Linked DNA regions of Cricetulus griseus. Each later gene encodes a partner of the first gene's protein in a complex. Links are inferred from orthologs where the notes say so. Each region holds a gene or a part of one and is shown on either strand. Other genes may lie near its edges.

Region 1 (4,773 bases):
CATAGACCTGTCTAAAGCCAGGGTGAAGGTGCCAAGGCCACACTGGAAAAGCACATCTCAGATCCTCTCAAGACACAAAGGACAAGTCTTGGCCCTCTGACAAAACATACATGGAGTTGCCTCTGCATGCTAAGCCCAACTTTCTTCCCACTTAGATGCCCCAGCTCAGCCCTCTCCTCAACTTTATACTCACCTTTCTTGACAGCATTGACCTCCAAGGGTTTCAGCCCCAACTTTGCACGGAGTTTGCTGAAGACAAGAGATAGAAGTATTAGGGTCTACCTTAAGAAATGTGATAACAAGTACATTTATGGAGGTGAAAACAAGGTGAGAATGAGTGGTTCTAGGGTAATAAGTACAGCCCCTAATCCTGGCAGCTTAGGGCATGAAGAAGACACAGGCTTCCAGAACAGGCTTCCTGACTGGGGAAGACTATCCTTCCTCTTGGGTCTCAGTTTCTTCCACGTAGCTCCTATGGTTGGCAGTATGACTCATCTGGCCATTCCAATTCTAACTGGCTTCATTTAGATTGAAAAAGTTTCTATAGGTAACAGCCCCAGGTGCAACCAGTCTCAGAGGAAAATCAAAACAGCATAAGGGCTACTCACTTGGTCTCCTCGATGCTAAGTGACGAGGCATCTCCAGAGCTAGTTTTGGAGCTGGCAGCTAGAACAATAAGGAGCACGGCTTAAGGAACCCATGAACATGGGACCAAGAAGCAACATCATGGTCTTCAGTTGCAAGGTCGAAGACAAGGGCCCCCACCAGCACCTGGGTAGATGACACCAGAAAACAGCAGCCTTCTTCCCCCAGGGTTCCCTGCAGCTGCTACCCAGGCCCTTATCTTTTTTCTGCATCCCTCACTGTGCCACTCCAAATCTCCACACTCTACCTTCAGCCTCCACAGTCCCTTCTGCTCTTGTTCTCATAAAGTTCTATCAAAAGAGCAAGTATCATCTCCTCCATGAAGCCCTGCTCAATTACTGACCAGAATTAAAACTCTGCCTAGAACGGCACAGCACTGCTTGTCATTTCTGGCACTTTCTGCCCACAGCAGTGTATGGAATACTTACTAGTGTGTGTTCCATGCCAGATGCTATGGACATAGGAAAGGAAGCACTCTGGACCTGATCTATCCACCCCACAAACAGGAGAGAACTTCAATAAACACTATACAGAGGAAGATGCCACCAGGATGCCCAAGTCCCCTGTCACACACTACTCACTGCTCTTTAAACCCTTCCTCCTCCACCTAGGCTCTGGACCCCATTTTCTATATGAACTCTCAAGTCTCAAGTCTCCCTTTTTCCAATTAGCAGATTATTAAAAAAAAAAAAAAAGTTTCAATTTAGGGGCTGGGGAGATGTCTCAGTGGATAAGAGCACTTGCTGTTCTTACAGAGGACCCAGGTTTGGTTCCCATAATCTATATGGCATCTCACAACCACCTAACTCATTTTCAGGGGATCCAATGTCCTCCTCTGAACCTCCACAGGCACTAGGAATGCACCAAGTGCATATTCACATATGGAGGTAAAACACTCAAATGCATAAAATGAAAACAACCCTTTGTTTACAAGTTCTGGTTCTGCATAATGCCCTGTGGTGTGTGATGCTCTTAACCACTCTGTCTTTTCAACAATCATCTCTTTGTACAGATCCTATGACCCAACTGTAGTGTTCTTGCCATTTGGCTACTCTTTATTTTTTAAGTATGTTTCTCTGCCCACAATTGAGCTATTGGCATTTACTAAGTTCTATTTCTGATCCTAGTTCTCACTCCACACACTCTAGGGCACTTTGGATTCCTGAATACACACTAGCCTCAAATCACTCTATCCCACTTAAACTGTAGGTTTTCCCATACACACTGACCAAAGCTCTCCCAAACTGGGTCATTCTCCCTTGCCTCAAATCTGCTAGTCTTCTAAACACCAACTTCAACAGATGAAAACCATTCACCAGGCGGGTAAGGTCAAAACTCCAGGAGGCATTCCCTGTTCCTCATCCCTCCCATCCCCTTAGCCCACGCACTAAATTTTGTTCATTGCACTTCCTAAACACCTATTCAATCTTTCCAGTCTCTCCACCCTACTGCATGGAGAAACATGCATACTCACTGTTAGTCCTCACCTGGTTGGGTTGACCTCCCTCCTAATCTCAGGGTCTGTAGTCCTATTTTTGACAAGCTCTCAACCCAGAGATCCTTTTTTTTTTTTTTTTTTTTTTTTGTTTTTCGAGACAGGGTTTCTCTGTGTAGCTTTGGAGCCTATCCTGGCAGTCACTCTGGAGACCAGGCTGGCCTCGAACTCACAGAGATCTGCCTGCCTCTGCCTCCCGAGTGCTGGCATTAAAGGCGTGCGCCACCAATGCCCAGCTCAATCCAGTGTGATCTTAACATATGAAGTAAATCAACCCACTTCCCTACTCAAATCCTCGACTCCCTACCGTCTTCATCACAAAGCCCAAATTTCTCAACAGAGCTTACAGCACAGGGTCCTTGGTGTTCAGACCCAAGCGTATCTTACTGCTTCATGACGATTCCACCTACTGTCAGGTTTCTCTTGCCTCTGTCTGTGCATGCTCGCACCTCCTCCTTTCGCCCACCCACCGCATTTACTGTCAAGTGCCAGACGGGAAGGGGAAACGCAAGACCCCGGTCCTTCCGAAGCTTAACATGGGGAGTCAGTCTTTAGTCCCCAACAGCCGGAGCAAGTCTTCAGCCCGAGAGGCACAGGCCCTGGCGGTCACCCTGCACCCTCCGTCCCGCGCACCCCAGGCCCCTGCCCCGCCCCCGCCCCGCCCTCACCGGCCTCGTAGCCGTCATCGCGTTTCTCTCGCTTCACGCGCCGCTCCGAGGGCTCCGCTTGACTTCGTTCGCGACCGTGCGCGCCGCCGCGGGCCTCGGCTTCGGCCCCGCGCCTCCCGCTCCCGCGCTCGCCCCCACGCTCGCGGCTCCGCTTCCGTCGTTCGCCGCCGCTGCTGCCGCCGCCGCTGCTGCGATGTTTGTGTTTCTTGTGCTCTCGATGCCGCGGCGGCTGCTCGGTGGCGCCCCCGGTACCGGCCGCCGCCGTCGTCCCCGCCGCCTCCTTCTCCCCGCGGTGCTTCTTTGACGACCCCATGACTAGTGCGTCCGTCTGGAGCCGGGCCGCCACCCGAGCCCAGACGACGCAAAATGGGAATACTTCCGGGTCGTGCGGCCGCCGCTGCGCTGTTGCCGGAAACTAAGAGCGGCTGCTTCCGGGGCCGGCCTGGGAACCTCCAGAGGCTCATGGGAGGGACGGGTTGAGACTGCGCATTCCCGGCTCCCGGGGACTGGCTCTGCGCATGTGCACCTGTAGAGGCTACGGGGTCGGCATTGGCTCTCCCGGGTTAGAACTGTAACAGCTTTGGAATCGTGCTAAAAGCCACCGTCTGCGGAGCTGGGAGCTCTTTCCCTGACCTTTCCACTCCGAGAGCCTCGTGGCGCTCTGTGCCTCAAGCCTCTTCGTGGGCGTCCCCTCCTCCAGTGATTGTCCTTCTCGTAGGCTCCCCGGGGCCGGGGATCCGTCCGGGGTTGGAAGATACCGCATGTTTTCTTCTTGAAGAAACCAGCTGCAAAGCCCCAGACTTGCAACCCCAATAAACCACTGTTGCCAGCGAATGCTACCGTCGCCCACTTTCCCTGGATTGGTAGATTGGGTCTTTTTAACCTGAGCTCTGGACTGCTACGGAACACTATGAATTTGTGCCTGTGAACCCCGTGAAATTGAGTGCTGTTTTTGTTTCTAATTTTCTTTTTAAGATAGGGTCTATATAGGTCTGGTTGGCCTAGTGCTTGTTACGTAGCCCTGGCAGGTCTCGAACCCTCTGGTTCAGCCTCCCGTGTGCTGCGAGTGGCCGGGATTTCAGGCATGCTCGCCCAAGCCAGGCTCAAGTGCAAATTGGGCAGATCCGTTTTTCTTTTGCCTGCCTGCCTTCCTTCCTCCCTTCCTTCTTCCCTCCCTCCCTCCCCCCCCCTCTCTCTTTCCTTCCTCTGTCCCGTTAACTATGTGGCCTCAGTCCGGGATTACAGGCACAAGCCACAATGCCTTGCTTTCCCAGCCTTTTCTCTCTTCCTGGGCTTTTTTATTTGGTTGATTGCTTGTTTGGTTTGGTTGTTTTGTTTTGGTCTTGAGGAGATGAGCTTTAAAGTTAAGGATTCACACACTCCCTTCTGCTACTAGTTGCTCCTCTGTGGGTTTCCTGTGTAGCACACCTCGGCGTGTTTTGGTATGGTTTTCCTGCTCCTTTACGGCTCTGCTCTACTACTGAGTCTTCAGAGGTGGACCTGTTCACTAGCATTTCTAGGTGTCCCACTCAGTAGCAGAGACAGCATGTGTTTGCCGAGGAAGGGGTGCAGCCAGGGTTCCCAGAATATGTGGGAAGTAGCTAAGTCCAGGCCACCCACTTACCACTGCCCCCCCCCCGCCCCACAATGCATAACCAACTCCCGTCAGAAGTCTCACACCATACTTGCCATAAGCATTTAATTTTTATCTCAGGGACTGTGCTGGGTTCAGGGTCGGGGAGGAGAGTCTTCCAGACTGATGGCTGGTGGCTTCTATCTTTGGGGGGTTCTGAAAAGAGTGCTCCATTTCTACTCCAAATGACCGGTGGCTCCTTAAAAACACAGATGGAGGCCATTGGGCTACAGCACCCACCTCCATGCCCAATGCAGCCTTTTACCCTGTGGGTCCCTGGGAAGTGACACTCTACTGAAATCTAGGGGTTTTGTTTTGTTTTTTCTGTGAAG
Region 2 (4,031 bases), on another chromosome or scaffold:
TGCCTTAGCCTTCCAAGTCTGGAATTACAGATATAATCCACTATGCCATTTTTTGCCCTGTTTTTTTCTAAATTCCAAAAAAAAATTCAATTTGAGTATTTGTTTAAAACAATTCTTTTTGGGGCTACAGAGAAGGCTAAGCAGCTAAAAACATGCATTACCTTTACATAGAACCTGAGTTTAGTTCCCAGAACCCACATCAGGTGGCTTACAACTGCCTATAATTCTGGCTCTAATGACCTCCATAGCACCTGTGTTCATGTGCACATTCTCACACACACATACATAATTTTAAAATAAATAAATAGCTGGGTATGGTGGACACACCTTAATCTCATCACTCAGGAGGCAGAGGTAGATAGATCTTTGTAAATTCAAAGTCAGCCTGGTCTGCAAAGCAAGTTTCAGGCCAGCCAGAACTACATAAAGACACCCTGTCTCAAAAATAACTAAATGTGTTTTTTTGTTTGTTTGTTTGTTTTTTGGGGGGGTTAGTAGTTAACTAGTCACTTTAATTCTGCCTGCTCACATTCCCTAGTATGTACTTTTCTGTGTTCTTCATATAGTCTCTGTTTGCTCATAGATTATGAAGAGGTAAGAACCCTCTAACTCTGCTCTCCTTTAACTCTTTAGGCCATAACACAAATGTAGGAGCAATTGTGTTCCATCCTAAATCTACTGTCTCATTGGACCAAAAGGATGTCAACTTGGCTTCTTGTGCTGCTGATGGTTCTGTGAAGCTTTGGAGTCTGGACAGGTGATTCCCTTCTGCAGTCCACAGTGCCATCCCTAAAGAAAGTGGTTGGCTAGCCCTTTAGGTTTGAAAATGGGATATTTAACCCCAGACATGCTTCAAGAGTCCAGGGAACTCACTGAAAATAGAAGATGTCTTTCTTAGACCTTTTCTGTTCAAAGAAGTTATACTGGGATTTTCTTTCCTTGCTTACTTTTAGTCCTCAGTTTTTGCCTTTAGCATAATAAGTCACTGATTCCCAGCTCCCATTCTAAAACAACCCAGTTTAATCTACATGGTAGGTTAGCATTAGCAAAACGAAGTTTTGTGGATGGGCTAAAGATAATCATCTTGGCAGCCTCTTGGATCTATGCACATGGCCACAGAGGAGAGGAAAAGTGAGGTTCTATCTGGCAGTACAGGCCACTGGTATCCTTTACCAGTGTATTTTACAACCACAGCACGTTTTCTTTCTTCATATGGATGTTTTTACTTGTCTTCTCAATTTTGGAAACATACTGTGATCTGAAAGACTTTTTGAATGTCCATTTTTCTTTCCTAGAGAAAGCATAGCAAGGTTTTTATTACAAAATTTTCCAAAGCACTAATTAGCATCTACAATCTTTGCCAGATAGGGTCTCAGCTAGTAGCATGGCAAGTTTTAATTGGCTTTCGTAATATTTAGCAACACTTATCCCCATAGGGCCCTGGTTGGGTCTGTGTGTACTCATTGACAGCACTCCCTTCTAATTGCCCTGTTTAGGCTCATGTTTATTTCCTCTCTCTAGAGTTTCAGCCTTTGTGTTGTTGCTAGGTAGCAGAAATTATTGGCCATCCAGAGGACACTGAGTCATTCTAGCTTAGGAGTTCTTTTTTAATTTGGATCTTTGAACGGGATAACGGTTAAATAAGTCCGGAACCCATTGGACCAAAACTGATTTCAGTATCCACACCTCTACCAAAGTATATTTTCTTTTTTGAATCCATGCACTATTTTGAAGCAGTGGAACTATTTTGCTCATCGTGGAGAATTTATTAACGCACTGAATTAAAATAGTGATCACTTTGCGTTGTGGTTGAAGAAATAATCCTCCATGTTTCAGAACCTTAACAAGTAGCTTAAATGATTGTTATCCCTAAGATTGTAACACATTGTAGGTACAGTAACAAAGTTAGCACAGAACCTTGTGCAGGGTGCAGTCAGCCCCCTGTGCTGCTCAGTGTAGAAAGTGCATGGTGATACTTGTGTACAAACTACAGAGTGGGCGTACCTGCACAGCAGCAAATAAACTGAGAGGGTTGTTCATGGCTGTCAAGGTGTTTAACCCCTGAATATATTTGGTTCCTTTCAGTGATGAACCAGTGGCAGATATTGAAGGCCATACGGTTCGTGTGGCTCGGGTAATGTGGCATCCATCAGGGCGTTTCCTGGGCACGACCTGGTAAGCCATCCATTAGTGTCCAGTTTGTGTACAAGCCTGTTGGTTTTGATAATCCTTTTCAGTTATCTGCCAGGTAAATATTTAGAGCAAGGATCTTGATTAGAACTTTCTCAAACTTAAGTAATAGAATCAGAAAAAAAGTCAAATATTTTTAAATATATTTCCTTTTAAATCTTACTGAGTGTGCTACACGTTATATTGAAATCTCTCTCAGCTAGGTGTGATGGCACAAACCTACAATCCTAACACTCAGCAGGCTAAAGCAAGAAGATCACAAGCTTAGGGCCAGCCTGAGCTACATAGCAAGACCTTTTTAAAAAATAAAATAGAGCTGGGCAGTGTGGCAGACACTTTTTAATCCCAGCACTCAGGGCAGAGACAGGTGGATCTCTGTAAGTTCAAGGCCAGCATGATCTAAAGGGAAGCTCAAGACAGCTAGGGCTACACAGAGACCCTGTTTTGAAAAAAAAAAAAATAATAATAAGTAAAATAGAAACACTAATATATAAAATTTCTCTGTGCCAACACCTTGACTTCTTTTTCTGGTTCTGTAAGTTTAGTGAGGCTTAGTTCTACTAAAACTTTTTTCTTTGAGGTTTGAGTAACGTACAATAGAATGGGGTGGTTTTATTGTACAAGTGCCTACTGCTTATGACCCACGCCCTTACCAGTAGTCTCTCTCAGCCAGCAGAGCTCTCTTCGAGCCCCTTCTCACTCTCCCCTTCCAGAGCAGCCGCTGACTTGATTTGTTCGTTCTGCCTGTTTATACCCATTTGTGCTATTAAGCTGAGTGTAGTCTATTGTGTGTCTGTTCCAGTTTATGCGTTCTCCTATTGATGGACACATGGGCATGTTTCTGGGTTGTGGCTAGTCAAGATAAAGCCACTATAAATATTCTCTTGTCTTTTAATGTGTGTCTATGTGCTTCATGCCCAGAAGCTGAGAAGGTGCATTGGATCATCTAGAATTAGAGTTGCACAAGGTTGTGAGCTGTCATGTGGGTGCTAGGACTCAGACCTGGGTCCTCTGGAAGAGCAGCCCATGCTCTTAACCACTAAGCCATCTCTCTATCCCTGACTAATTAAATATTCTTATTGGAGCGTTTTATATTGTTTGGGGTTGGGTTTTTTTTCCCCCCTTTCTCTTGGGTAAATACTAAGGAGTACAGTTGCTAGTTCATAGAGTAAATGTATATTTAGCTTTCTAAAAACATTCAGGCAAGCTGGGTTCAGTGCCTGAACCCAGTGCCTGAACCCAGCAGGGGGATCTTGAGTTTGAAGCCAGCCTGGGCTTCATAGTAGGACCCCATTCCCCAGAATAAAAACATGTGAACAACTGAGTCTATTTCATATCTTTGTCAATGTTTGCTGTGTTGGTCTTTTATCTCACCCATTGTAGCTGGCACATAGTAAACCTTATATTAGTGTTAACTGCCCTGACAGCTGTTGCTGTTGAGTATTTTGCCATGTGCTTTGCCCTTCTTGAGTTTATTTTTTTCTGTATTTGTACCGCCATAGCCTGTTTGTTGCCATCATTGAAGATTTCTATTAAAATTGTTTTAGCACCCTAATGAAAGCTGATCATATATATTTGGGTCTTTTTCTGTATCTGCTCTATTTGTCCATCTGAATTTTTTTTTATGCCCAATAAATATACAAATGCTTGCTTGATGGATGAAGGGATATAACAATAGAATGAGGAGAGGAAAAAAAAATGCAGTCTTTGCCAAACTGTTCTTTAAGAATTTTGTTTTTGTTTGTGCTGGTGGTTGAACCCAGGGCCCTGCACATACGAGGCAAGCCCTGCCCCCTACTATTGAGCCCAAACCCCAAACCAGGGAATTCTTTTTGAAAATA

The links. The genes of interacting proteins can lie anywhere in the genome.
Region 2: Sart1 (region 1) and Prpf4 share a complex: the UniProt entries of both Homo sapiens proteins name them as parts of the U4/U6-U5 tri-snRNP complex. The link is inferred for Cricetulus griseus from reciprocal best matches to the Homo sapiens genes SART1 and PRPF4.

The regions. Positions count from the first base shown.
Region 1 is NC_048596.1:53,945,488-53,950,260, reverse strand, and holds the start of Sart1 (U4/U6.U5 tri-snRNP-associated protein 1), read right to left. Parts: upstream 3,198-4,773; 5' UTR 3,122-3,197; coding exon 2,809-3,121; intron 667-2,808; coding exon 609-666; intron 250-608; coding exon 194-249; intron 1-193. UniProt on the Homo sapiens protein: Plays a role in mRNA splicing as a component of the U4/U6-U5 tri-snRNP, one of the building blocks of the spliceosome. May also bind to DNA.
Region 2 is NC_048595.1:83,449,788-83,453,818, reverse strand, and holds part of Prpf4 (U4/U6 small nuclear ribonucleoprotein Prp4), read left to right. Parts: intron 1-633; coding exon 634-757; intron 758-2,085; coding exon 2,086-2,175; intron 2,176-4,031. UniProt on the Homo sapiens protein: Plays a role in pre-mRNA splicing as component of the U4/U6-U5 tri-snRNP complex that is involved in spliceosome assembly, and as component of the precatalytic spliceosome (spliceosome B complex).